Linked DNA regions of Anolis sagrei. The main gene of each other region encodes a partner of the protein of the gene in region 3 in a complex. Links are inferred from orthologs where the notes say so. Each region holds a gene or a part of one and is shown on either strand. Other genes may lie near its edges.

The links.
Region 1: the proteins of RGS7 (region 3) and GPR158 are in contact, whole or in part, in a cryo-EM structure (PDB 7SHF), measured with the Homo sapiens proteins. The link is inferred for Anolis sagrei from reciprocal best matches to the Homo sapiens genes RGS7 and GPR158. Residues at the interface, in NP_001351815.1 of Homo sapiens: Gln35, Ile43, Ser55, Arg109, Phe110, Thr112, Pro113, Tyr114, Phe115, Lys134, Thr136, Lys140, Ala141, Arg142, Leu143, Leu145, Ala146, Asp147, Ala150, Leu153, Gln157, Trp164, Phe168, Met169, Gln170, Glu172, Ala173, Gln174, Lys176, Val177; in NP_065803.2 of Homo sapiens: Leu507, Lys508, Phe510, Leu511, Arg513, Thr514, Tyr595, Tyr598, Ala599, Thr602, Val603, Pro604, Ile714, Arg715, Leu718, Lys719, Tyr722, Leu725, Glu726, Tyr728, Lys729, Arg730, Met733, Ile734, Thr735, Asn736, Asn737.
Region 2: the proteins of RGS7 (region 3) and GNB5 are in contact, whole or in part, in a cryo-EM structure (PDB 7EWP), measured with the Homo sapiens proteins. The link is inferred for Anolis sagrei from reciprocal best matches to the Homo sapiens genes RGS7 and GNB5. Residues at the interface, in NP_001351815.1 of Homo sapiens: Pro19, Leu22, Val23, Lys26, Val30, Ile72, Val76, Glu77, His80, Leu81, Leu84, His88, Val207, Asp213, Ile214, Lys215, Lys216, Leu258, Gln261, Ile262, Trp265, Gln266, Gln268, Leu269, Arg271, His272, Arg273, Leu274, Lys275, Met276; in NP_057278.2 of Homo sapiens: Leu57, Glu60, Ala61, Glu62, Leu64, Lys65, Leu68, Glu71, Lys74, Leu75, His76, Asp77, Val78, Glu79, Leu80, Val83, Leu90, Phe93, Arg98, Arg99, Leu109, Lys117, Arg118, Ser134, Phe135, Trp149, Met151, Leu167, Tyr197, Ser206.

What each region holds. Positions count from the first base shown.
Region 1 is NC_090026.1:109,420,930-109,428,972, reverse strand, and holds the start of GPR158 (metabotropic glycine receptor), read right to left. Parts: upstream 3,039-8,043; 5' UTR 2,521-3,038; coding exon 1,703-2,520; intron 1-1,702. UniProt on the Homo sapiens protein: Metabotropic receptor for glycine that controls synapse formation and function in the brain. Acts as an atypical G-protein coupled receptor that recruits and regulates the RGS7-GNB5 complex instead of activating G proteins.
Region 2 is NC_090029.1:20,397,057-20,405,079, forward strand, and holds the start of GNB5 (guanine nucleotide-binding protein subunit beta-5), read left to right. Parts: upstream 1-4,997; 5' UTR 4,998-5,040; coding exon 5,041-5,166; intron 5,167-8,023. UniProt on the Homo sapiens protein: Enhances GTPase-activating protein (GAP) activity of regulator of G protein signaling (RGS) proteins, such as RGS7 and RGS9, hence involved in the termination of the signaling initiated by the G protein coupled receptors (GPCRs) by accelerating the GTP hydrolysis on the G-alpha subunits, thereby promoting their inactivation.
Region 3 is NC_090021.1:56,333,237-56,340,309, reverse strand, and holds the start of RGS7 (regulator of G-protein signaling 7), read right to left. Parts: upstream 3,101-7,073; 5' UTR 2,985-3,100; intron 1-2,984. UniProt on the Homo sapiens protein: GTPase activator component of the RGS7-GNB5 complex that regulates G protein-coupled receptor signaling cascades.

The DNA.
Region 1 (8,043 bases), on a different chromosome or scaffold from region 3:
CCTCAGTGAGACTTCCCTTATGAACAGCATCAGGCTGCATCTCTGTACCTGAGAACTGGGAATTAGGACCAAACAATGCCAGTGAGAGTTATTTTTGAGTAGACGCATAGGATCAAGGAAGCATGTGCCAAGATTGAGCTAAGGAAGATTGGCTGCATTCTAAAAAGTGTAGATGTGTCAATGTAGATGGATGGACAGACAGACAGACAGATCTATAGATCGCTCTTAGGCAAGTCATATACTGTTGGTCAGTGTTTCTCAACCTGGAGGTCAGGACCCCTGGGGGAGCTGCGGGGGGGGGGGTCAGAGGTATCGTCTGTTGGTCATGGGGGTTCTGTGTGGGAAGTTTGACCCAATTCTATTGTTGATTGGGTTCAGAATGCTCTTTGATTGTAGGTGAACTATCAATCCCAGCAACTACAACTCCCAAATGTCAAGATCTATTTTCCCTAAATTCCACCAGTCTATTTTTCCTAAACTCCACCAGTGTTCACATTTGGGTATATTGAGTATTCGTGCCAAGTTTGATCCAGATACATTATTGTTTGAGCCCACAGTGCTATCTTAAGGGGGGAAAGGAACGGGCCTGAGGCTGTTAGGAATTGTGGGAATTGAAGTCAAAAACACCTGGAGACTTGAAGTTTGTCCATGCCCGGTAGAGACACACACATATAAAGGTAAAAGTTTTCCCCTGACATTAAGTCTAGTCATGTCCAACTCTGGGGATTGATGCTCATCTCCATTTCTAAGTCAAAGAGCTGGTGTTGTTCGTAGACACCTCCAAGGTCATGTAGCTGGCATGACTGCATGGAGGGCTGTTACCTTCCCGCTGGGGCAGTACGTATTGATCTACTCACATTTGCATGGTTTTGTACTGCTAGGTTGACAGAAGTTGGGGCTAACAGAGGGAGCTCACCCCAATTCCTGAATTTGAACTGCCAACCTTTCAAACAGCAAGTTCAGCAGCTCAGTGGGGGAAAAGGAAGGAGTCTGAAGCTCTTAGGAATGGTGGGAGTTGAAGTCCAAAACACCTGGAAGGCCCAAGTTTGTCCATGTCTGGTAGAGACACACACATACACACAGCTGTATTGTTTGCTTTTTCACTTGCTGAACACTGGTGCCTTGAACCACAAAAAAGTATGCTTCTGACAGAAGTGTTAGGAATCCAGGGAAACGTGAAGCCAGGTGTTCCTACCTGAATTTTGACAAGTAGGAACCTGAATCCCCTGAAATTAAATCTAGTCCTGTCTGACTCTAGGGGTTGATGCTCATCTTCATTTCTAAGTTGAAATCTGGTGTTGTCCGTAGACACTTGCAGGGTCATGACTGCATGGAGCGTTACCTTTCCGCTGGGGCAATACCTATTGATCTACTCACATTTGCATGTTTCCTAACTGCTAGTTTGGCAGAAGCTGGGGCTAATGGAAGGAGCTTATCCTGTTCTCCAGATTCAAGTTCAACAGCTCAGCGGGGGGGGGGGGGGGAGGAAGGGACCTGAGTCTGTTAGGAATGGAGAGAGCTGAAGTCTAAAACACCTGGAGGGCCCAAGTTGGCTCATGCCTGGTAGAGAGACACACAGAGACACACAGCTATGTTGTTTGCTTTTTCACTTGCTGAACACTGGTGCCTTGACACAAATAAAAAGTCTGCTTCTGACAGAATTCCTAGAAATGCAGGGCAACGTGAAGCAGGGTGTTCCTACCTGAATTCTGGCAGGAGGTTGGGCTGCAAGCCATAGAAAGCGGCGGAGAGGCTGAGGAGCCAGGCGGGCTTGTAGGCGCCGTCCTCGCAGTCCAGGAAGGGCGGAGACCACTGGACGTGTCCCTTGTCTCCCTTCTTGCGGGCTCCCTCGGCCACGGGGCCCTTGCGGGGCGGGTGGGGCCTCCCTTTGCGCCTCCACGCGTGGATCCACTCGGTGTCCCGGTGGGTGGCTGCGGCGGAGAGGTCCTGGAGCAAGACGCGGCTGTCTTGTCGGATGGCCTGGAGCAGGACCTGCTGCGGGTGCTCCGGGCTGAGCGTCAGCGCCGCCCGGAAGATGCCCGGGTTGCCTTCCAGGAGGGTCCGGACCAGGACCCGGTACCAGTCCAGATCGTCGGGCAAGTTCTGCTCGCGGCTCTGGTTGCTCTGCAGGAGGGTGCTGAGGAAGTTGGCGGCGTGGAGGAGGGCGTCCAGGGCGGCCTGGAGCGGCGGGTGGGAGGCCAGCGAGCGGGGCTTCCCGGCCCAAGGGCCCAGCTCGAAGCGCCCCGAGCAGTTGGCCCGCTTCAGCTCCCGGGAGTCGCCGTAGCGGAGGAAAGTGGCCACGGCGGGGGGCAGCTCCCGGGAGAGGCGCTGGGCCAAGGCAGGGGCGCCCTCCTCCTTCTCCTTCTCCTCCTCCTCCTCCATGGCTGCGGATCGCCTCCAAGGAGCCGTGGCCCGGCTGGGACCCTTCGCCACGCCGCCCCCAACCAGAGGGGCCACGCAGAGCAGGAAGAGGAGGGCGGCCAGGAAGGGGAAGGAGAAGAAGGGCGGCCGCCGACCCATGTCCTCCGCCGGGCGAAGCAGAGCCCCTTCCTTCCTTCCCCCCCTTACAAAAGGAGACCCATGGCGTGAGGGAGACCTAGATCCGGAGCAAGGAGCGGAGTCACCTGTAGCGAGCCCGCACAATCGCAAATAGATGTGTGAAGGCTTCCGTTACGCAGCCGGGGCCATCCCTGCCGCGGGCGAGAGGGCGATGCTCTTCTGCCCGCTTCTCCTCTGCCAACAGGGCTCTTTCTCCCCCATCCGCTCTTCTCTTTTAGTCCTCGCCTGCCTTCTGCTGCTGCTGCCGCCGCTGCTCCTCTTCCTCCTCCATTGCCAACCTCCCCGAGCCGCGGAATCCCGGGTGCAAACCCTCCCCAGAGGAGTTCTCTTCTCTGGGAAAAGTGGGCAGAGGGAGGGGAGGCAAGGCGGAGCGAGGGCTTCGCTAGGAGACGCTTCCCTCGGGTCCCCCGCCAAAGGAGGCACCTTCCCTGCCTTCCCTTCCCGACTGTCGCCGGCGTTTGGCCAAGCTGCTCTGCCAGCCCCGATCTGGCGGCCGCCCCGCCCCTTTCTCCCCGAGCCTCCCGCCCATTGGCGCGCTCTGGGCGCCTCGAGCGCCGGCTGGAAGCCTGCCCTGTCAATCAGGGAGCAGCCCTGGAGGGAGCTGTCCAAGTGCTGAAAGAGCAGCAGGAGGAGGACAGCGCCTCGCAGGCTTCCAGGAGGGAGGGAAGGCACCCAGGTGGGGGAGAACTGGCCCTGTCTGCCTCACCTGAAGACTCTGCTGCCTCACACCTTCCACACAGCTGAATAAAATCCCACAATCTGGTTTGAACTGGAATATATGGCACGGTGGACTCAGATAACCCAGATTTTCTACCTGAATATTCTGGGTTATATGGGTGTATGGAAGGGCCCCCAGTTCAAGCAGATATTATGAGATTTTCTGCCTAGACATTCTGGATTATATGGGTGTATGGAAGGACCCCCAGTTCAAGCAGATATTGTGGGATTTTCTGCCTGGATATTCTGGGTTATATGGTTGTATGGAAGGACCCCCAGTTCAAAGCAGATATTGTGGGATTTTCTGTCCGGATATTCTGGGTTATATGGGTGTGTGGAAGGGCCCCCGGTTCAAAGCAGATATTGTGGGATTTTCTGTCTGGATATTCTGGGTTATATGGTTGTATGGAAGGGCCCCCAGTTCAAAGCAGATATTGTGGGATTTTCTGCCTGGATATTCTGGGTTATATGGTTGTATGGAAGGGCCCCCAGTTCAAAGCAGATATTGTGGGATTTTCGTTCTGGATATTCTGGGTCATATGGGTGTGTGGAAGGGCCCCCTTCAAAGCAGATATTGTGGGATTTTCTGTCCGGATATTCTGGGTTATATGGGTGTGTGGAAGGGCCCCCAGTTCAAAGCAGATATTGTGGGATTTTCTGCCTGGATATTCTGGGTCATATGGCCTGTGTGGAAGGGCCCCCAGTTCAAAGAAGATATTGTGGGATTTTCTGTCCGGATATTTTGGGTTATATGGGTGTGTGGAAGGGCCCCCAGTTCAAAGCAGATATTGTAGGATTTTCTGTCCGGATATTCTGGGTCATATGGGTGTGTGGAAGAGCCTAGAGACCCAAGCAAGGAGTCTTCTCCCCTCGCAATCCCCGTTTCTCCTTTTAGAACTGCAGGGTTGAACCCAGGACGATGGCCACATCCTCCTCCTTCTCCCCCCACCTCCAGATATACCTGCCTAGGTATTTCTTCCAGCACTGAATAAATACTATCTCTACTAACAGTGTCCCGGGAAAGAGTAGGAGTTTATTTTATTTTCCTTTTTAAATAAAAAACTGGTTTTATTGTGCGAATTAATTAACAAAGTATGAATAGATATAATGGGAAGAAACAAGGGGATAGCGACACCTGCTGGCTGAAGCAGGCAGACTCCCTTCAATCAAAACAAAGCTCAGAGGTGAGGAAGAGAGGAACGCAATAGCATTCAACGTTGTGCTCAGTACCACGAGAAATATTTCGACTTTTTATTGCCTTCCTTACATTTGGATGCAACCAGGCAGGAGAGTAGAAGATTCCAAGCATTGGATGGATTCAGGAAAGAACCTGTATCGTGCCTGATATCCTATCCATGTCTAATTTGTACATAGGTAAAGGTAAAAGTTTCCTCTTGACATTAAGTCTAGTCCTGTTGGACTCTGGGGTGGTGGTGCTCATCTCCATTTCTAAGCCAAAGAGCCAGCATTGTCTGTAGACCCCTCCAAGGTCATGTGGTCGGCATGGCCCCATGGACTGCTGATACCTTCCTGCAGAAGCAATACCTATTGATCTACTCATATTTGCATATTTTCAAACTGCTAGGTTGGCAGAAGCTGGGACTAACAGCATGAGCTCACGCAGCAACTTCAGCAGCCCAGTGCTTTAACTCGCTGCACCACCGGGAGCTCAATTTGTACACACACACACACACACACACCCTTAAATTCAGCATTCAGCAGTCATGATTCTTAAAAAAGCTCAACATTTCTATATACTGTGTTATAAAAAAATGTTGTACATTGCAGCCAATGTGCGCTTTGATGCTATACAGTCACATACCTTAAGCCCCTGGTTGACAATGGGGATTGAATACATGCTGCAGCACAGCCTTAATACTATCTGTGCACTGGCACCAGAATAGGAGGAATTAATCATTAGAGCTACCTCAACAATTTTTAAGCAGAAGAGTTATTATTATTATTATTATTATTATTATTATTATTATTATTATTATTTATTACTTTATTTGTACCTTGCTAGCATCTCCCGAAGGACTTGATGCGGCTTACATAGGCCAAGACCAACACAATACAACAATACAATACCTAAAGCAAATTAAAAACAGTTAAGCAGTATGAACAACAAACAATAAACAATACATCAAGACACTATAAAACTGGGCCGGGCCGGAGTAATGGGTACAAGGTTAAAAGTGCGGATGTGGCAGAGGTATGTAGGATTATAAGTAAATGCATTGTGCAGAATGTAGCAATCTTAATTCTACTAAAGTGCTTCTAGGACTTGGTATTGGAGATTCCTAATCTGAGAAGGCACATCGGAATAGCCAGGTCTTCAAGTTCTTTCTGAAGACTGCCAATGTAGGGGCCTGTCTGAGATCTTTTGGGAGGGCGTTCCAGAGTCAGGGGGCCACTACAGAAAAGGCCCTGTCTCGAGTCCCCACCAAGCGTGCTTGCGACGCAGGCGGGATCATGAGCAGGGCCTCTCCAGATGACCAAAGTGAACGCGTGGGTTCGTAGACGGAGATGCATCATTAGCAGGCCAAAGGGAGGCAAAATATTCTTCCTACTCATTATCATGTAAACATTCTTAAATAGGGAGGCTCTTACAAGCACAAAATGTACATGGAAGCATCCTCCTGAACATTGGGAATAACTTCCTGACTGTGAGAGTTGTTCAGCAGTGGAACTCTCTGCCCCAGAGTGTGATGGAGGCTCCTTCTTTGGAGGCTTTTAAACAGAGGATGTTGGGGGTGCTTTAAATGCAATTTACCTGCTTCTTGGCAGGGGGTTGGACTGGGTGGCCCACGAGGTCTCTTCCAACTTTTTGATTCTATGTACTCAAGGTAGATCACTTCCAAATATGTTTGCAGAAGATAGATTTCAGCCTTTGTTATTCCCAGGATTGCTGAAGGGCAATCACTGCCTTAACATTTCTTGGTACTGGGACATTTAGTATCCTTTGTTGAACAATTCTTCCTCCCTTTTCGATTTCTGAGAAGGCTCAGACACGTAGGATTCTTGATAGTTCTAGTTTTACTACATTACTTCAGGGGTGGGCTCATCATCCCCAGCCTAGTGTTTCAGAGCATTCAGTCTCTTGCTGGGCCCTGTTCTGGGCCCCTGGACTAGTACATATTTCGTATTTGCCATTTGCATGCATCATGCTTGGAGCCCCCGGTGGCGCAATGGGTTAAACCCTTGTACTGACAGGACTGAAGACCAACAGATTGGAGGTTCGAATCTAGGGAGAGTGCAGATGAGCTCCTTCTGTCAGCTACAGCTCCCCATGCTGGGACATGAGAGAAGCCTCCCATAAGGATGGTAAAACATCAAAAATATCCAGGTGGGCAACATCCCTGCAGATGGCCAATTCTCTCACACCAGAAGAGACTTGCATTTTCTCAAGTCGCTCCTGACATGGGAAAAAACATATCACACTTCACCTTTGGCTAGCTAGAATTGTAGAGCTTGTTTTCAAAAGGTACCAAATCCATCTGAACCAATTTTACAGGAACTGAAGAAAATGTGCTGAGGATATGCCTTCTTTTGCTATAAAATGCGATTTCCCAAGCATTGTGCAGAAGGGAACTGATATATTTTGATAGTTTTGATCTATACATGCTACAAATGTATCGATTCGCTTCTGTACAATGCTTGGAAAATTGCACCCACAACTCATTTTTCATTATTGTTATTTTTTAATTTGGTACCTTTTGGGAACAAACTCCACAATTCAGCAATATCTGGACAGAAACACCTCTATCCTTTTCTTCAGTGGTGTTACAGTGCTATTGTGTTAATAATGCTACTTGGACTGGGATGGCTGATGTGATCTAAAAATCTCATACATTTCTTGGCCAATTTCAAAAGCCCTCTCTATTAGTGATTAAGTCTGTTTCTTGATGGGAGCAATCTTGCCATTCTACAGCAATCTTGTACTGGGCAGAAAAAGAAAGAAAGTGGCTTATTTATTTATTTATTTATTTATCGTGTCAGAAGCAAACTGAAGGTATAATTATCATGTATTTAAAACACACAAGCAAAGTTATAAACTTGGCATTATACTAAATGTCCTTTGAACGGAAACTGGCCACTTGGAGTGCCTCTGGTGTCGCCGTAAGAAAATCCTCCATTGTGCATGTGGCAGGGCTCAGGCTGTATTGTAGTAAGTGGTCTGTGGTTTGCTCTTCTCCACAATCGCATGCTGTGGACTCCACTTTGTGGCCCGATTTCTGAAGATTGGTTCTGCACCTTGTGGTGCCAGAGTGCAATCTGTCTTCTGTGTGCCCAGGGGGGAGTCTCTCATCCAGTATCAGCCATGGATTGAGGTTCTGGGCTTTAGCCTGCCACTTTTGGACTCTCGCTTGCTGAGGCATTCCTGGGAGACATGATAGAAGCCTTCCAGCAAGATTGTAATACATCCAGGTGTTCACTGGGCAATATCTGATTCTCTCGCACCAGAAGCGACCTGCAGCATCTAACCAAACAGAAAGAGGCTGAAAGTGATAAAGAAAAGGAAGAGGGAAGGTAGGAAAGAAAAAAGAGAAGAGGTGCCCCTGCGCATTTTTGCTTAGCTCAACTCACCCCTCTATTGCAGATTCCAATAAATTGCTCCTAAAGAAATTCAGAAAGGTTTGCAACCTTTGGTATTGAAACAGCTATTGGCGAATGCATTCAAACACTTTAACTGTGAATTTTGTTGCCCTGGCTTATCAGCATAGAGGATTCAATCCCAATTTAGTTATTTTTAGAACAGACACATTG
Region 2 (8,023 bases), on a different chromosome or scaffold from region 3:
TCCACGAGGACTCCAAGATCTTTTCCACACATATTGTTGTCAAGCCAGGCATCCTCCATCTTTGCATTTAATTTTTTTTCTGCCAATCCCCAAACTTCAAACTGGGCACATTTCTGTCAACGTTATGGACTGGTCTTCCTGGATTATTATTATTTTTCTTTCACCCATGACAGTTTCTTCCATGACTTGAGAAAAAAATATTCACTTCTGTGGAACCATAAACCAGCAGCAGGAAAGGTGTTGCAATACAAAACCCAGGCGTGTGCCTTCTGACTGTCTAAGCCGATTATCACAGCATTAGGATCGTCCTCTTATGTGTCCAGTTGAAACTGGTCAGTTCCTTGCCGTCCCGGCATCTTGAAGTCTTTGCTCTGATAAAAGAAGGTAAGGAGCATTTAAAATACTATTAATATCAAACATATCTAGAAGCCATAGAGAAATATTGAGATGATTGTTATATTGTTTATTATTTAGCATAAATACTTAAAAATATGTTTACTATAGATAGTTACTCAGAGCTGTGTCTTCTTTGATTGAGGTAACAAAGTGACTGCTTTCTTGAATTTTGTGTAGAGTCGTGAAGTATCTGTTTAAAATCCTGAAAGATGATGCTGTCAAGGTGATGCATGCCATAGGCCAGCAAATATGGAAAACACAAGAATGGCCTTCAGACTGGAAAAATATAATAATAATAATAATAATAATAATAATAATAATAATAATAATAACAATACTGTATTTATACCCCACCACCATCTCCCCAGTGGGGACTCAGAGCGGCTTACATGAGGCCAAGCCCGAACAACAAATTACAATAAAATAAAACCAAAACACAACCAAAAATGCAAACAGTAAACAACAACATCATAATAAAATAAACATGTAAATATATAACAATATAAAATTACAATAGACGCAATCACAATAACAATGGATGGGCTACATGTAATGATTAAAAGAGAGACTAATTAAAACTTTTAAATGCTTGTATGTTATTGTTCATTGTTATTGTTTATTGTTTATTTTTGTTTTGAGATTTATTTTACTGTTTTGTATTGATTATTTTGTTACTGCTGTCGTTTTATTGATGTACTGCAGGCTTGGCCTCATGTAAGCTGCACCGAGTCCCTTGGGGAGATGGTAGCAGGGTACAAATAAAGTTTTATTATTATTATTATTTTAAAACTCAGGCGAGATAAAAAAGAGACAGATTATTTGCGGAGGAGGGCTCATTATAGTGGGGGTTGTGGAATCAAGCTTTCCCACAGAGCGGGGGACAACATATATGCCAATGACAGAAGGTTGAGGCTAAGCAGTAGTCTGGGATTGTATACATACTCCAAAGGCGCAGCGGGAGAGCCAGGTTTTAAGGTCCTTTTTAAAGGTTTGTAGGGTAGGGGCTTCCCTAATTTCTCCAGGTAGTGAGTTCCAAAGTCGGGGGGCCACAGAGGAGAAAGCTCTCTCCCTAGTGCTTACCGGGCGAGCTTGTGAAGCTGGCAGGGGCAAAAGAAGGGCCTCCCCAGATAAATCAACTTCTATCCCCATATCAACAAAGGGAAATGCTAAAGACTGCTCAAACTTCCGCATAGTGGCTCTTCTTTCTCATGCCAGGAAGGGAATGCTCAAGATCCTGCAAGGAAGACTCCAGCAAGACATGGAGAGAGAGTTGCCAGATGGACGAGCTGGGAAAGACAGAGGAACCAGAGACCAGATTGACAATATCTGGATGCTGGAGAATGGAGAAAGGCAGGGAGTTTCAGAAAAACATCTATTTCTGTTTCATTGACTATTCTAAAGCCTTTGACTGTGTGGATCATCATAAATTGTGGCATGTTCTTGGTGGTATGGGCATACCAAATCACCTTGTCTTTCTCCTGAGGGATCTGTATAAGGACCAAGTAGCAACAGTAAGAACTGACCACGGAACAACAGATTGGTTCAAGATTGGGAAAGGCGCACGGCAGGGTTGTATCCTCTCACCCAACCTATTCAACTTGTATGCAGAACACATCATGCAAGGATGTGCAGAGCTTGACGAAGGCAAGGCTGGGGTGAAAATTGCTGAAAGAAACATTAACAACCTTAGATATGCAGATGACACCACTTTGATGACCGAAAGCGAGGAGGAGCTGAGGAGCCTTCTAATCAAGATGAAAGAAGAAAATGCAAACGCTGGGTTGAAGCTAAACATAAAAAAACAAGATTATGGCAACAAGAACGATTGACAACTGGGAAATAGAGGGAGAAAACGTGGAGGCAGCAACAGACTTTATATTTCTAGGTGCAAAGATGAGTGCAGACACAGAGTGCAGCCAGGAAATCAGGAGATGCTTACTTTTCGGGAGGAGAGCAAGGACCAATGTCGACAAAATAGTGAAGAGTAGAGACATCACACTGGCAACAAAGATCCGCATAGTCAAAGCAATGGTATTTCCCATAGTCACCTACGGATGTGAGAGCTGGACCATAGGGAAGACTGAGCGAAGGAAGAGAGATGCTTTTGAACTGTGGTGCTGGAGGAAAGTTCTGAGAGTGCCTTGGACCGCAAGAAGATCCAACCAGTCCATACTTCAGGAAATAAAACCCAACTGCTCACTGGAGGGAAGGAAAGTAGAGGCCAAGATGAAGTACTTCGGCCACATCATGAGAAGAAAGGAAAACTTAGAGAAGACAATGACGCTGGGGAAAATAGAAGGAAAAAGAAAGAGGGGGTGACCAAGGGCAAGATGGATGGATGGCATCCTTGAAGTGACTGGATTGACCTTGAAGGAGCTGGGGATGGTGACGGCCGACAGGGAGCTCTGGCCTGGGATGGTCCATGAGGTCACAAAGAGTCAGAAACGACTGAACGAATGAACAACAACAATGAAGTATCATATTCTTATTCCTCGTTGGGAGTCTTATGATATGACTTACGCTCCTTGGATCAAAGATCAGGGATTGCCAATATGCCTCAGGGATGGACAGACTTGTGGGATTTAATTTGTTTTTCCTTTTTGCTTAGAAGCCAGATCTGCCAAATAAAACCTAGTGCAAAGAATGTACATTTAGACTCAAATAATTCTACATCCATTAATATATTTTAAGCACCCAAAGTGAAGTATACCTGTATTTACATGCAAGGAAAAAACCACTGAGATCTCACAACAGATCTTCTGAGGATGCCTGCCACAGATGCAGGCGAAATGTCAGGGGAGAATGCTTCTAGAACATAGCCATACTGCCCGAAAAACCTACAACCCCCCCAAACCCACTGCCAATTACCCAATTTGTAAAAAAGGCAATGTTTTAAAAATGCTACAGAACAATCTGTGTTGACATTTTACAAGGCCTTTATCCTTCTCTGCCAAAGAGTGCTATGCCTCACCAAACTGTAATTCCCAGGATTACATTGCATTGAAACATTGCCTTTAAAGTACGAGTGTTATCCAGAAAGTAAGGTTACAAGGCACGTTAACTCCATGGGGAATTTTCTTGGGGGAAATTGGTATAGCAGGAAGTCAGTGGAAGAGAACGAGCAGTGCCAGTCGTCAGTAGCTCATCGACTAACTTTGTGGTAAAGGTTAGAGATGAGCTTCCTCATTCCATTTCCCTCCAAGTGCATTTAAACATGGCCTTCAAAGTTCGAATGTTATTCGGAAAGTAAGGTTACAAGGCACGTTAATCCTCATGGGGAATTTTCTTGGGGGAAATTGGTATCACTGCTGTGTAGCAGGAAGACAGCGGAAGAGAACGAGCAGTGCCAGTCGTCAGTAGCTCATCGACTAACTTTGTGGTAAAGGTTAGAGATGAGCATCCTCGTTCCGAAGTTTGCACTGTAATGTGCGAAGTTTGCGCTGTAATGTGATACCTAAAAGCTAAGGGCATGAACGCAGCTATGATGCATCGCAAAATCATTTCAGTTTATGGAGAGGACGTAATGTCAAGACAGCATGGGACAAAATGGGTATGGAATATATTGTAAGACCATGACAAAAATTCACAGAGCTGTCCAAAACAAACACCGTGGGATGCTGACGGTGGGAGTTATGACAATGCCTGTCCGCACACCGCTCATACAACACAAAAGTTGCTGACTTTGTTTGGTTGGGATGTTTTAACCCACCCTGATCTCACACCCAGTGAGTCTGTTCACTAAATTGAAGGAACACCGTGGTGGAAAACACTTTTCCGATGCCGAGGAGGTGAAAATCGAAGTGACAAACTGGCTGAAAAAGATGGAGGGAAACTTCTGTGACACAGGCATCAAAAACTCATCCCACGGAAGACAAAATATATTGAACTGAATGGTGATTATGTAGGAAAATAATGTAATACCTAGACTACAATCTATGTAAGTGTTATTAAAATACATTCATTCTTTATATTTTAAAAAAATCCTTTCTGGATTTATTTAAACTTTCTGGATAATCCTCATAGTTCACATTGCGTTAGTTCTAAGTCTGTGGGAGACCACGGTTTGAATCCCTTCTTGGCCACTGAAACCCACTCTCTGCTCTTGGGCCTTTTGGCTTCTTTTATCCTCAGAGATGGCAAACTTCCTCTGAACAAAGCTTGCCAGAAAACTCTGAAATGGTTACCTTAGGGAAGCCGTGAGCTGGAACTACGTGAAGGCAACAAATAACAAAGTTGTAATAATCAATTGTGCCATAATTGGCGGTTGTCTTTAGGCATCTTGAACACAAGTGGCAGGAATTCAGAATTTTCCTGCATTCAAAGAGCGGCGTTTACTCTGCCTGCAGGAGTTGCAGATTCTTTAAGACACTTGAAAGGCAGCGCTAGGTCAAGACATTTTTCACCTGGGGTGTAATTTTAACCTCAAGCTGGTTATGTTATTTTTGCAGAACTGCAAGTAGTCCTTCACATCCTTGACAGTTAAAACACAACGAAGCAAATAACAATTTGCTGGACTTTTAAATTGTTAGTGCCAGTGCTGTTTAAAATGCAAAGGCTTTGTGCCTCACGTCTAGCATCCACCTGCTTTCATTCTCTCTTTTCTCTCTCTCCCTCTCTCTCTTCCAGCTCCAGCACTTCGCAAAGATGTGTGACCAGACGTTTTTGGCCAATGTGTTTGGTCCATGCGACAAATGTGCCCAAAACCGGGCCCTCCGAGAGATTTACCGCAAAAATGAGAAACTCAGCTACTGCTCACTATGTGTGGGAATGGTACGGGACGGCATCTATTTTCATTGCGGGAAGGGTGGAATATATCTTGCAATCTCCTTTGAATGCTTTAAATATTTAAACCAGTGGTTCTCAACCTTCCTAATGCCACGACCCCTTAATACAGTCCCTCATGTTGTGGTGACCCCCAACCATAATATTGTTTTCGTTGCTACTTCATAACAGTCATTTTACTACTGTTATGAATTGTAATGTAAATATCTGATATGCAGGATGCATTTTCATTCACTGGACCAAACTGGGCACAAATACCCAATACACCCAAATGTGAATGCTAGTGGGGTTGAGAGAGGATTGATTTAGTAATTTGGGAGTTGAAGTTGCTGGGATTTATAGTTCACTTATAATCAAAGAGCATTCTGAACTCCACCAGCGATGGATTTGAACCAAACTTGGCTCCCATAACCAATGGAAAACACTGGAAGGGTTTGATGGGCATTGAGTTTGGGAGTTGTAGTTCACCTATATCCAGAGAGCACTGTGGACTCACGCAATGGTAGATCTGGACCAAACTTGGCACAAATACTCAATATAATAATAATAATAATAATAATAATAATTGGAAGCAAACCCCAGTGGATACCAGGGGCCACTGTAATGTAAAAGAAATCCCAAATTTGCACGGAAAAATGCTGCACTCGCAGAGCTCAGGCGCTGTTGTATTTAATAAATAATAATTTATTATCTATAGTAATATCTATAGATTCGGGTATCTACGGGGGGGGGGGGGTTGGAAGCAAACCCTACAGGGGGGGGGGGGTTGGAAGCAAACCCCAGTGGATACCAGGGGCCATTGTAATGTGAAAAAAACCCAAGTTTGCATGGAAAAATGCTGCACTTGCAGAGCTCTGGCGATGTATTTAATAAATAATAATAACAACAAGACTTGAATATCTATAGATTTTGGTATCTACGGGGGACTGGTAGCAAACCCCAGTGCATACCAGCGGCCACTGTAATGTAAAAGAAACCCCAAAAATGCTGCACTTGCAGAGCTCAGGCAGTGTTGTATTTAATAAATAATAATAATAATAATAATGGGACTTGAACATCTATAGATTTTGGTATCTACGGGGGGGCTGGAAGCAACCCCCAGTGGATACCAGGGGCCACTGTAATGTAAAAGAAACCCCCAAAATGCTGCACTTGCAGAGCTCAGCCGGTTTTGTATTTAATAAATAATAATAACAATAGGACTTGAATATCTATAGATTTTGGTATCTGGGGGGGGGGGGGGCTTGAAGCAAACCCCAGTGGATACCAGGGGACACTTTAATGTGAAAGAAACCCCAAATTTTTATGGAAAAATGCTGCACTCGCAGAGCTCAGGTGGTGTTGTATTTAATACATAATAGTAATAATAATAATAATAAGAAGAAGAATAGGACTTGAATATCTATAGATTTTGGTATCTACGGGGGACTGGTAGCAAACCCCAGTGGATACCAGGGGCCACTGTAATGTAAAAGAAACCCCAAAAATGCTGCACTCGCAGAGCTCAGATGCTGTTGTATTTAATGTATTATTATTATTAATAATAATAATTAATAATAATAATAATAATAATAATAATTCAAGTCCTATTATTAATAATAATAGGACTTGAATTTCTATAGATTTTGGTATCTACGGTGGACTGGTAGCAAACCCCAGTGGATACCAGGGGCCATTGTAATGTAAAAGAAGCCCCAAAAATGCTGCACTCGCAGAGCTCAGGAGGTGTTGTATTTAATAAATAATAATAGGACATGAATATCTATAGACTTGGGTATCTATGGGGTGCTGGAAGCAAACCCCAGTGGATACCAGGGGCCACTGTAATGTGAAAGAAACCCCAAATTTGCATGGAAAAATGCTGCACTTGCAGAGCTCAGGCGGTGTTGTTTTTTAATAATAATAATAATAATAATAGGACTTGAGTATCTATAGATTTTGGTATCTACGAGGGACTGGTAGCAAACCCCAGTGCATACCAGGGGCCACTGTAATGTAAAAGAAACCCCAAGTTTACATGGAAAAATGCTGCACTTGGAGAGCTCAGGCGGTGTTGTGTTTAATAAATAATAATAAGAATAATAGTACTTGAATATCTATAGATTCGGGTATCTACGGGGGGTTGGAAGCAAACCCCAGTGGATACCAGGGGCCACTGTAACGTAAAAGAAACCCCAAGTTTGCATGGAAAAATGCTGCACTTGCAGAGCTCAGGCGGTGTTGTATTTAATTTATTATTATTGTTGTTGTTATTATTATTAATTAACAATAATAATTAAATAATAATAATAATAATTCAAGTCCTATTATTAATAATAATAGGACTTGAATTTCTATAGATTTTGGTATCTATGGGGGTCTGGAAGCAAACCCCAGTGGATACCAGGGGCACTGTAATGTAAAAGAAACCCCCAAAAATGCTGCACTCGCAGAGCTCAGGTGGAGTTGTATTTATTAAATAATAATAATAATAATAATAATAATAATAATAGGACTTTGATATCTATAGATTTTGGTATCTGGTGGGGGGGGGGGGGCTGGAAGCAAACCCCAGTGGATACTAGGGACCACTGTAATGTAAAAGAAACCCCAAAAATGCTGCACTTGCAGAGCTCAGCCGGTTTTGTATTTAATAAATAATAATAACAATAGGACTTGAATATCTATAGATTTTGGTATCTGGGGGGGGGGGGGGGGCTTGAAGCAAACCCCAGTGGATACCAGGGGACACTTTAATGTGAAAGAAACCCCAAATTTTTATGGAAAAATGCTGCACTCGCAGAGCTCAGGTGGTGTTGTATTTAATACATAATAGTAATAATAATAATAACAATAAGAATAGGAC
Region 3 (7,073 bases):
TTGAAAACAATTACCTAAAGACATGGAAAGAAATCCAAAAGAACCTGGAAAATTGGAAACATTTGAAAATCTCATTATTAGGAAGAACATCATGCATTAAAATGAATGTCCTGCCAAGGATGCTATTTCTGTTCCAAAACATACCTATACTAAGGAACAAGAAAACTGTACTAAACTGGAATAAAGATATTAGAAAATTTATCTGGCTTAATAAAAAACCAAGGATAAGTTATAAAAATCTGACAGATGAGAAAGGAAGAGGAGGATTGACACTACCAGACCTAGGGTTATACGCCGAGGCATGTACCCTAGCCTGGGCCACAGAATGGGTAAGACTGAAGAAAGAAAAAATACTAAATCTGGAAGGATGCGACCTCCGCAGAGGGTGGCATGCTTACATCGGATATGAGAAAACAAAAATAGAAAAAAAATTTAGGAACCATTTTGTAAGAGCAGCGATCATAAAAACCTGGGACAAATACAAGAAGAGAATGTATAACAAAATTCCAACATGGATCTCCCCTTTAGAATCAAGCCAAAGAAGGGAACTAGGATGGATTAAATGGCCAAACTACAAAGAATTACTAAAAGAAGAAAACAAAGTGATCAATCTGAGACCCCTAGAAGACATAAAAGCAAGTTACCCAAATATGACCTGGTTACAGTACAGGCAAATACAGGAGTTTTTTGGTAAAGACAAAAAGATAGGATTTGAGAAAAGAGGGAATATCTGGGACAAAATCTGGGAAACAGAAGGAAAAAAAATCTCTAAAATATACAAACAATTACTCCAATGGAGTACAGAAGAAGAAAGGGTGAAGGATTGCATGGTGAAATGGGCCAAAAATGTAGGTAGAACGATTGGATTAGAAGAATGGGAAACGATATGGAAAAAAAAACTAAAATACTTAAAAGCATATGATTTGAAAGAAAATTGGTGGAAAATCTTTTTTAGATGGTATCTGACACCCGCCAAATTAAATAAATATTACAAAAATTGTAATTCAAGATGCTGGAAATGCGGAACAGTGGAAGGAACGCTGCACCACATGTGGTGGAAGTGTAAGAAAATAAAAGATTATTGGAAAGAAATTCAAACACAATTACAGAAAATACTGAAAGTCAAGATTCCCCTAAAAGCTGAAATATTCCTATTAGGCATCACAAAAATCAAATTGGACAAAAATACAGATAAACTGTTATTCCTGGCAACAACAGCTGCCAGGATTTGTCTGGCAAGAGTATGGAGGAAAAAGGAAGTTCCGAAGATTGAGGATTGGAAAAAGAAAATGATAGAAGTCAGAAATATGGATTGTTTAAGTTACATAATGCAAAGAAGTAAAGGAATCGAGGAGATAAGAACAGATTGGACAAGTTTTAAAGAATACTTAAAGTTACACATATAATCAATTACCAATATAGAAGGTCAGGCAAAAAGGCCTGGATTCAGAAGAGCAACTATACAAGAAGATCTCCAGTCAACTAGAATTGAGAAGGAAAAGAGAGGAAGAGAAAAAAATGAAAGAAAGAAGAGGAAGAGGCCCACCACAGATGAATCCTGGAAGTCATGTTTGATGGATGAAAGAACTTATTCTTGATTCTTTTCTTTTAAACTCTTTTTTTCTCTCACATTTTCTAAATCTTACCCACACTTTTCCTTCCCACCCTACTCCGTGGCATTTAGATACCCAGGATAGTTTTTCCCCGTCCCCGACCTACCCTGGAAGGTCTACCTCCCTTCCAACCGTCCTCATTCTCTTTTTCTTCCTTCTCTCCTCCTCTAACCCCCGCTATAACTCTACACATCTATATCTGATATACCACACTATCTAAGCTACTATATTTTAAGGATTGTATTTTAGAAAATATCAATAAAGATTATTATAAAAAAAAATAAACTGAATTACTCTGTCACAAAATGGTGCAGGTGTAAAAAGTGTGCCATCGACATGAAATGTTTGGAAAGCTCTGTTCTAGCATGTTCAGTTGAAAAGCAAAGTCAATGTGATGCAGTTGTCTGTGGCTGTTGAATTAGGACTCAATGGAAGCAGAGTTCAAATCCTGTCACATTCTCTCAGCCTCAGACAAAGGTAATAGCATGCTTCTGAACAAGTATCACCAAGGAAGCCCTAGGGCAGGGCTATCAGAAATCAGAGTTTACTTGAAAGGATACAACAAGAATATTCATTGGGGAATTCTGTGTTTGTGTGTGTGCCTTCAAGTCACCTGTCAATTAAGAGTGACCCTGTGAATTTCAAAAGGTTTTCTGAGGCAGGAAATACTCTGAAGTATCCTGTTCATTTCTTTTTCTAACCCTGAAAAAGAAAAAGACTTTTTGAAAATAGAATAAATCACCAATAAAAACAGCAGTAAAGAATTTATAATTTACTAGCTGTCTCCTGCCACGCGTTGCTATGGCCCAGTCTGTGTATATGTGTTTTGTGTGTGTATATATTTGTGTATATGTGTATATATGTGGTTTTGCGCATATGTTGTAATGTTTTTTGTTTTTTTGCTTTAAAGTCTCTTCTGCTGTGTTTTTCAGTGTTTTTATGAGTGATGGTCACTCGTTGGCTTGATAGGTGTCTTGTGTCCAAATTTTGTGTCAATTCGCCCAGTGGTTTTTGAGTTATGTTAATCCCACAAACTAACATTACATTTTTATTTATATAGAAGAAGAAAAATGCCCTGGTCCAAGGCTATGGAGCTCTAGGAATTGTAGTTTTACAAGGCCTTGTGCCTCCTCTGCCAAAGAGTGCTGGTCTCTCGCCAAACTACCAATCCCAGAATCCCATAATGTTGAGCCATGGCTGTTATCAAACTGCATTAATTTTACTTTGCATATCAGCGCTCAAACCATGCTATGAATTAGAAACAGTCTTTAAGAGTTTGCTCCAGGCACAGTCAGCCCATTGTATGCTAATCAAGGTGGTCAGTTGAAAAGATTCACACCTAGCCCAACTTACAAAAGCCTTTTGTCTCACCCTGGTCAGTCCACAGATGTATAAACCCCTTTTTTCCCAGCTCCAGCAGACCTCTGAGGATGCCTGCCATAGATGCAGGCGAAACGTCAGGAGAAATGCCTCTAGAACATGGCCATATAGCCCGAAAAAACCCACAAGAACTGAGAAACAGTCTTGTACATGAAAGATAGAGGGCGCTCGTTCCAACCTGTATAAAATCCTGTTTCGTTGTCCTGCGCATGCTCTGCCCGTCAATCTGAAGCCTGTTCCCCCATTTTGCCAGTTCCATTGCTTCAAGGCAGCCTCACTGTGCTGGAACCTGGCAGCGCGAAGAAGAGGGCAAATGGTTGTGGGCTTCGTTGGCGCTAAAGCGCACGCGCGGAACCCACTGCGTCAGTGTGTGGCCAGCGCTGATTGGTTCTTTACCTCGGGGACGTCTCTTTCGGGTTCGGAAGCCTCATTGCGGAACCGCAGGTATTCTTCCTAGGAAGCCCCCCTCCTTTTGCTGGAGTCAGTACTTTGCAGTTCGCAATGGGCTCCGGCTTTCCAGTCAGAATGTGCCCTTCCACATGCAGTTCCTATCATTCAAGATGGGAAGGGAAGATGGGTGTTGCAGTCCAATCCCGTGTAAAAGATCTCGCGTCCCACTTAAAGGGCCAGCAGTTCAGATAGCAGTTTCAGGAGAAGAAGCAATTGGTGTTAGATGAGAAAGGAAATGAGGCTGTGTCCGCACATGGCGTGCCGTCTCCTTTTCCTTCCTTCTGAAACCCAGATCAGCCCCGTCTTGAGTGCATCCACACTGCAGAGTTAATGCAGTTCGACACCACTTTAACTGCTTTTACTCAGTGTTACGGAATTATGGGAGTTCTGTGCCTTGATTCGCCGCCGCTGCTTAACAGGACTGGTGCCTCACCAAACTAAAACTCCCATCATTCTAGACCTGAGCATTGAGCCATGTCAGTTGAAGTGATATCAAACTGCATTAATTTTGTAGTGGAGAATCTGTGTTTCCCAAACCTAATCCTCCCGAAGTTTTGGACTTCAGCTGGCCACATGACCTTGGAGGTGTCTCTTCAGCCTAGAAATGGAGATGAGCATCAACCCCCATAGTTGGACACAACTAGATTTAATGCCAGGGGAAAACCTTTACCATATATATATATATACTAGCTGTGCCCTGCCACGCGTTGCTGTGGCCTATAGTAAAACTTATCAAAGTTGAGGTAGATATCTGGACTATTATGAAAGAGAGGTACCTACCTATTCCTTCCCCCTTTTCCTCCCCCTTTCTCTCCTTTCTTCCTTCTCTACCTCTTTCTTTCTTTCCTTCTTTCACTACTTGGTTTCATCCTTCTCTCTTTCCTTCATTCCCTCCCCCTTTCTTCCTTTGCCTTTCTTCCCTCCCTGTTTGCTTCCTTCTTTCACTTTTTATTTCCTTTTATTTTACCACCATCATAACAATAACAATAATGCAGTGCATTGCCTCTGGGACCTGACACCTCTCCCATTCCCCCTAAAAGGGTCACAGAGGAATAATAATAGCATCATAATAATCATAGAAATAACAACCTTTACCCGCCACGTGTTGCTGTGGCCAATCTTCCCTCTTTCTCTCCTTCTTTCCCTCCCTCCTTCCTTCCTTCCTTCCTTCCTTCCCATCTTTCCTTCTCCTCTTCTTTCTCTATCTCTTTCCTTCCTTCCCCTTTTTCTTTCTCTTCTGCTGTCTCTCTTTTCTTTCCTTCCATCTTTCCTTTTCTTTCCTTTTCTTCTTCCTGTAACTTTCCTTCCTTCCCCCTTTTTCTTTACTTCCCTTTCTCTTTCTTCCTTCTTTCCTTCCTTCCTGTCTTTCCTAGATTTTGACAGGGCGGGAAGGGGCGGGGTGGGGTTTGGAGGTGGCGTGAAGTAAAAGGAGGTAAGATTGGGGCGGGGGAGTGATGGAGCGTGGGGTTGCGTGTGTGTGTGCGGCGGCGGGGGGAGTGGGGTTGCGTGTGTGTGTGCGGCGGCGGGGGGAGTGGGGTTGCGTGTGTGTGCAGCGGTGGGGGGAGTGATGGAGCGTGGGGTTGTGTGTGTGTGTGTGGTGGCGGGGGGAGTGGGGTTGCGTGTGTGTATGCGGCGGCGGGGGGAGTGATGGAGCGTGGGGTTGCGTGTGTGCGTGCGGCAGGGTGTGTGTGTGTGCGGGAAGCGGCGCGGCGGGGCTTGGAGTGGGCATGGTTTCCGCAGAGGGAACGTTGGCCGGAAGGCCATGTGCGCGCGCCAGGGAACTTGCGGCTGGGCGCCAATGCGCATGCTCAGTTGTTTTGCCATTTTGTGAGTGTGTTGTTGTGTTGTTTTTCATTTTGAGTAGATATGTTTGTACCTTGTGGGTTGTGTTATGGGCATGGCAATTTTGGTTAAGTTTCGTTGGGTTTTTTTGAGTTTTGTTGTTTTGCCGTTTTGTGAGTGTGTTGTTGTGTTGTTTTTCATTTTGAGTAGATATGTTTGTACCTTGTAGGTTGTGTTATGGGCACGGGGATTTTGGTTAAGTTTCGTTGGGTTTTTTTGAGTTTTGTTGTTTTGCCGTTTTGTGAGTGTGTTGTTGTGTTGTTTTTCATTTTGAGTAGATATGTTTGTACCTTGTGGGTTGTGTTATGGGCATGGCAATTTTGGTTAAGTTTCGTTGGGTTTTTTTGAGTTTTGTTGTTTTGCCGTTTTGTGAGTGTGTTGTTGTGTTGTTTTTCATTTTGAGTAGATATGTTTGTACCTTGTGGGTTGTGTTATGGGCATGGCAATTTTGGTTAAGTTTCGTTGGTTTTTTTTGAGTTTTGTTGTTTTGCCGTTTTGTGAGTGTGTTGTTGTGTTGTTTTTCATTTTGAGTAGATATGTTTGTACCTTGTGGGTTGTCTTATGGGCATGGCAATTTTGGTTAAGTTTCGTTGGGTTTTTTTGAGTTTTGTTGTTTTGCCGTTTTGTGAGTGTGTTGTTGTGTTGTTTTTCATTTTGAGTAGATATGTTTGTACCTTGTGGGTTGTGTTATGGGCATGGCAATTTTGGTTAAGTTTCGTTGGGTTTTTTTGAGTTTTGTTGTTTTGCCGTTTTGTGAGTGTGTTGTTGTGTTGTTTTTCATTTTGAGTAGATATGTTTGTACCTTGTGGGTTGTGTTATGGGTATGGGAATTTTGGTTAAGTTTCGTTGGGGGTTTTTTGAGTTTTGTTTCCTCGTTGGATGCCCCTAACAAATATATATATATATATATATATATATATATACATACACACACAGAGAGAGAGAGAGATACTATTTTTATTTTTTTTACTCATTTTATTATTTAATAATAGTACTAATAATAATAACAGCCCTCCATGAAGTCATGCCGGCAACATGACCTTGGAGGTGTCTATGGACAACGCTGGTTCTTTGGCTTAGAAATGGAGATGAGCACCAACCCCCAGAGTCGGACACAACTAGACTTAGTGTTAGGGGAAAATCTTTACCATACACACAGACATACTATTTTTATTTTTTACTCATTTTATTATTTAATAATAGTACTGATAATAATAACAGCGCTCCATGAAGTCATGCCGGCCACATGACCTTGGAGGTGTCTATGGACAATGCCGGCTCTTTGGCTTAGAAATGGAGATGAGCCCCACTCCCCAGAGTCGGACACAAGTAGGCTTAATGTCAGGGGAAAACCTTTACCTTTTAATACACACACACGCACATACCATTTTATTATTTACTCATTCTATTATTTATTAATCGTACTAATAAATGGTACTAATAAACAGTAATAACGGCGTTCCACACAGTCATACTGTCCACATGACCTTGGAGGTGTTTGTGGACAATGCCAGCTCTTCGGTTTAGACATGGAGATGAGCACCAACTCCTGGATACAACTAGACTTAATGTCAGGAAAAAAACCTTTAACCACACACACACAGACACATATACACACACATACATACACATACTGTTTTTATTATTTACTAATTTTATTATTTAACAATAGTACTACTAATAATAATAACGGCATTCCATGCAGTCATGCCAGCCAAATGACTTTGGAGGTGTCTATGGACAACACTGGCTCTTTGGCTTACAAATGGAGATGACCACCAACCCTCA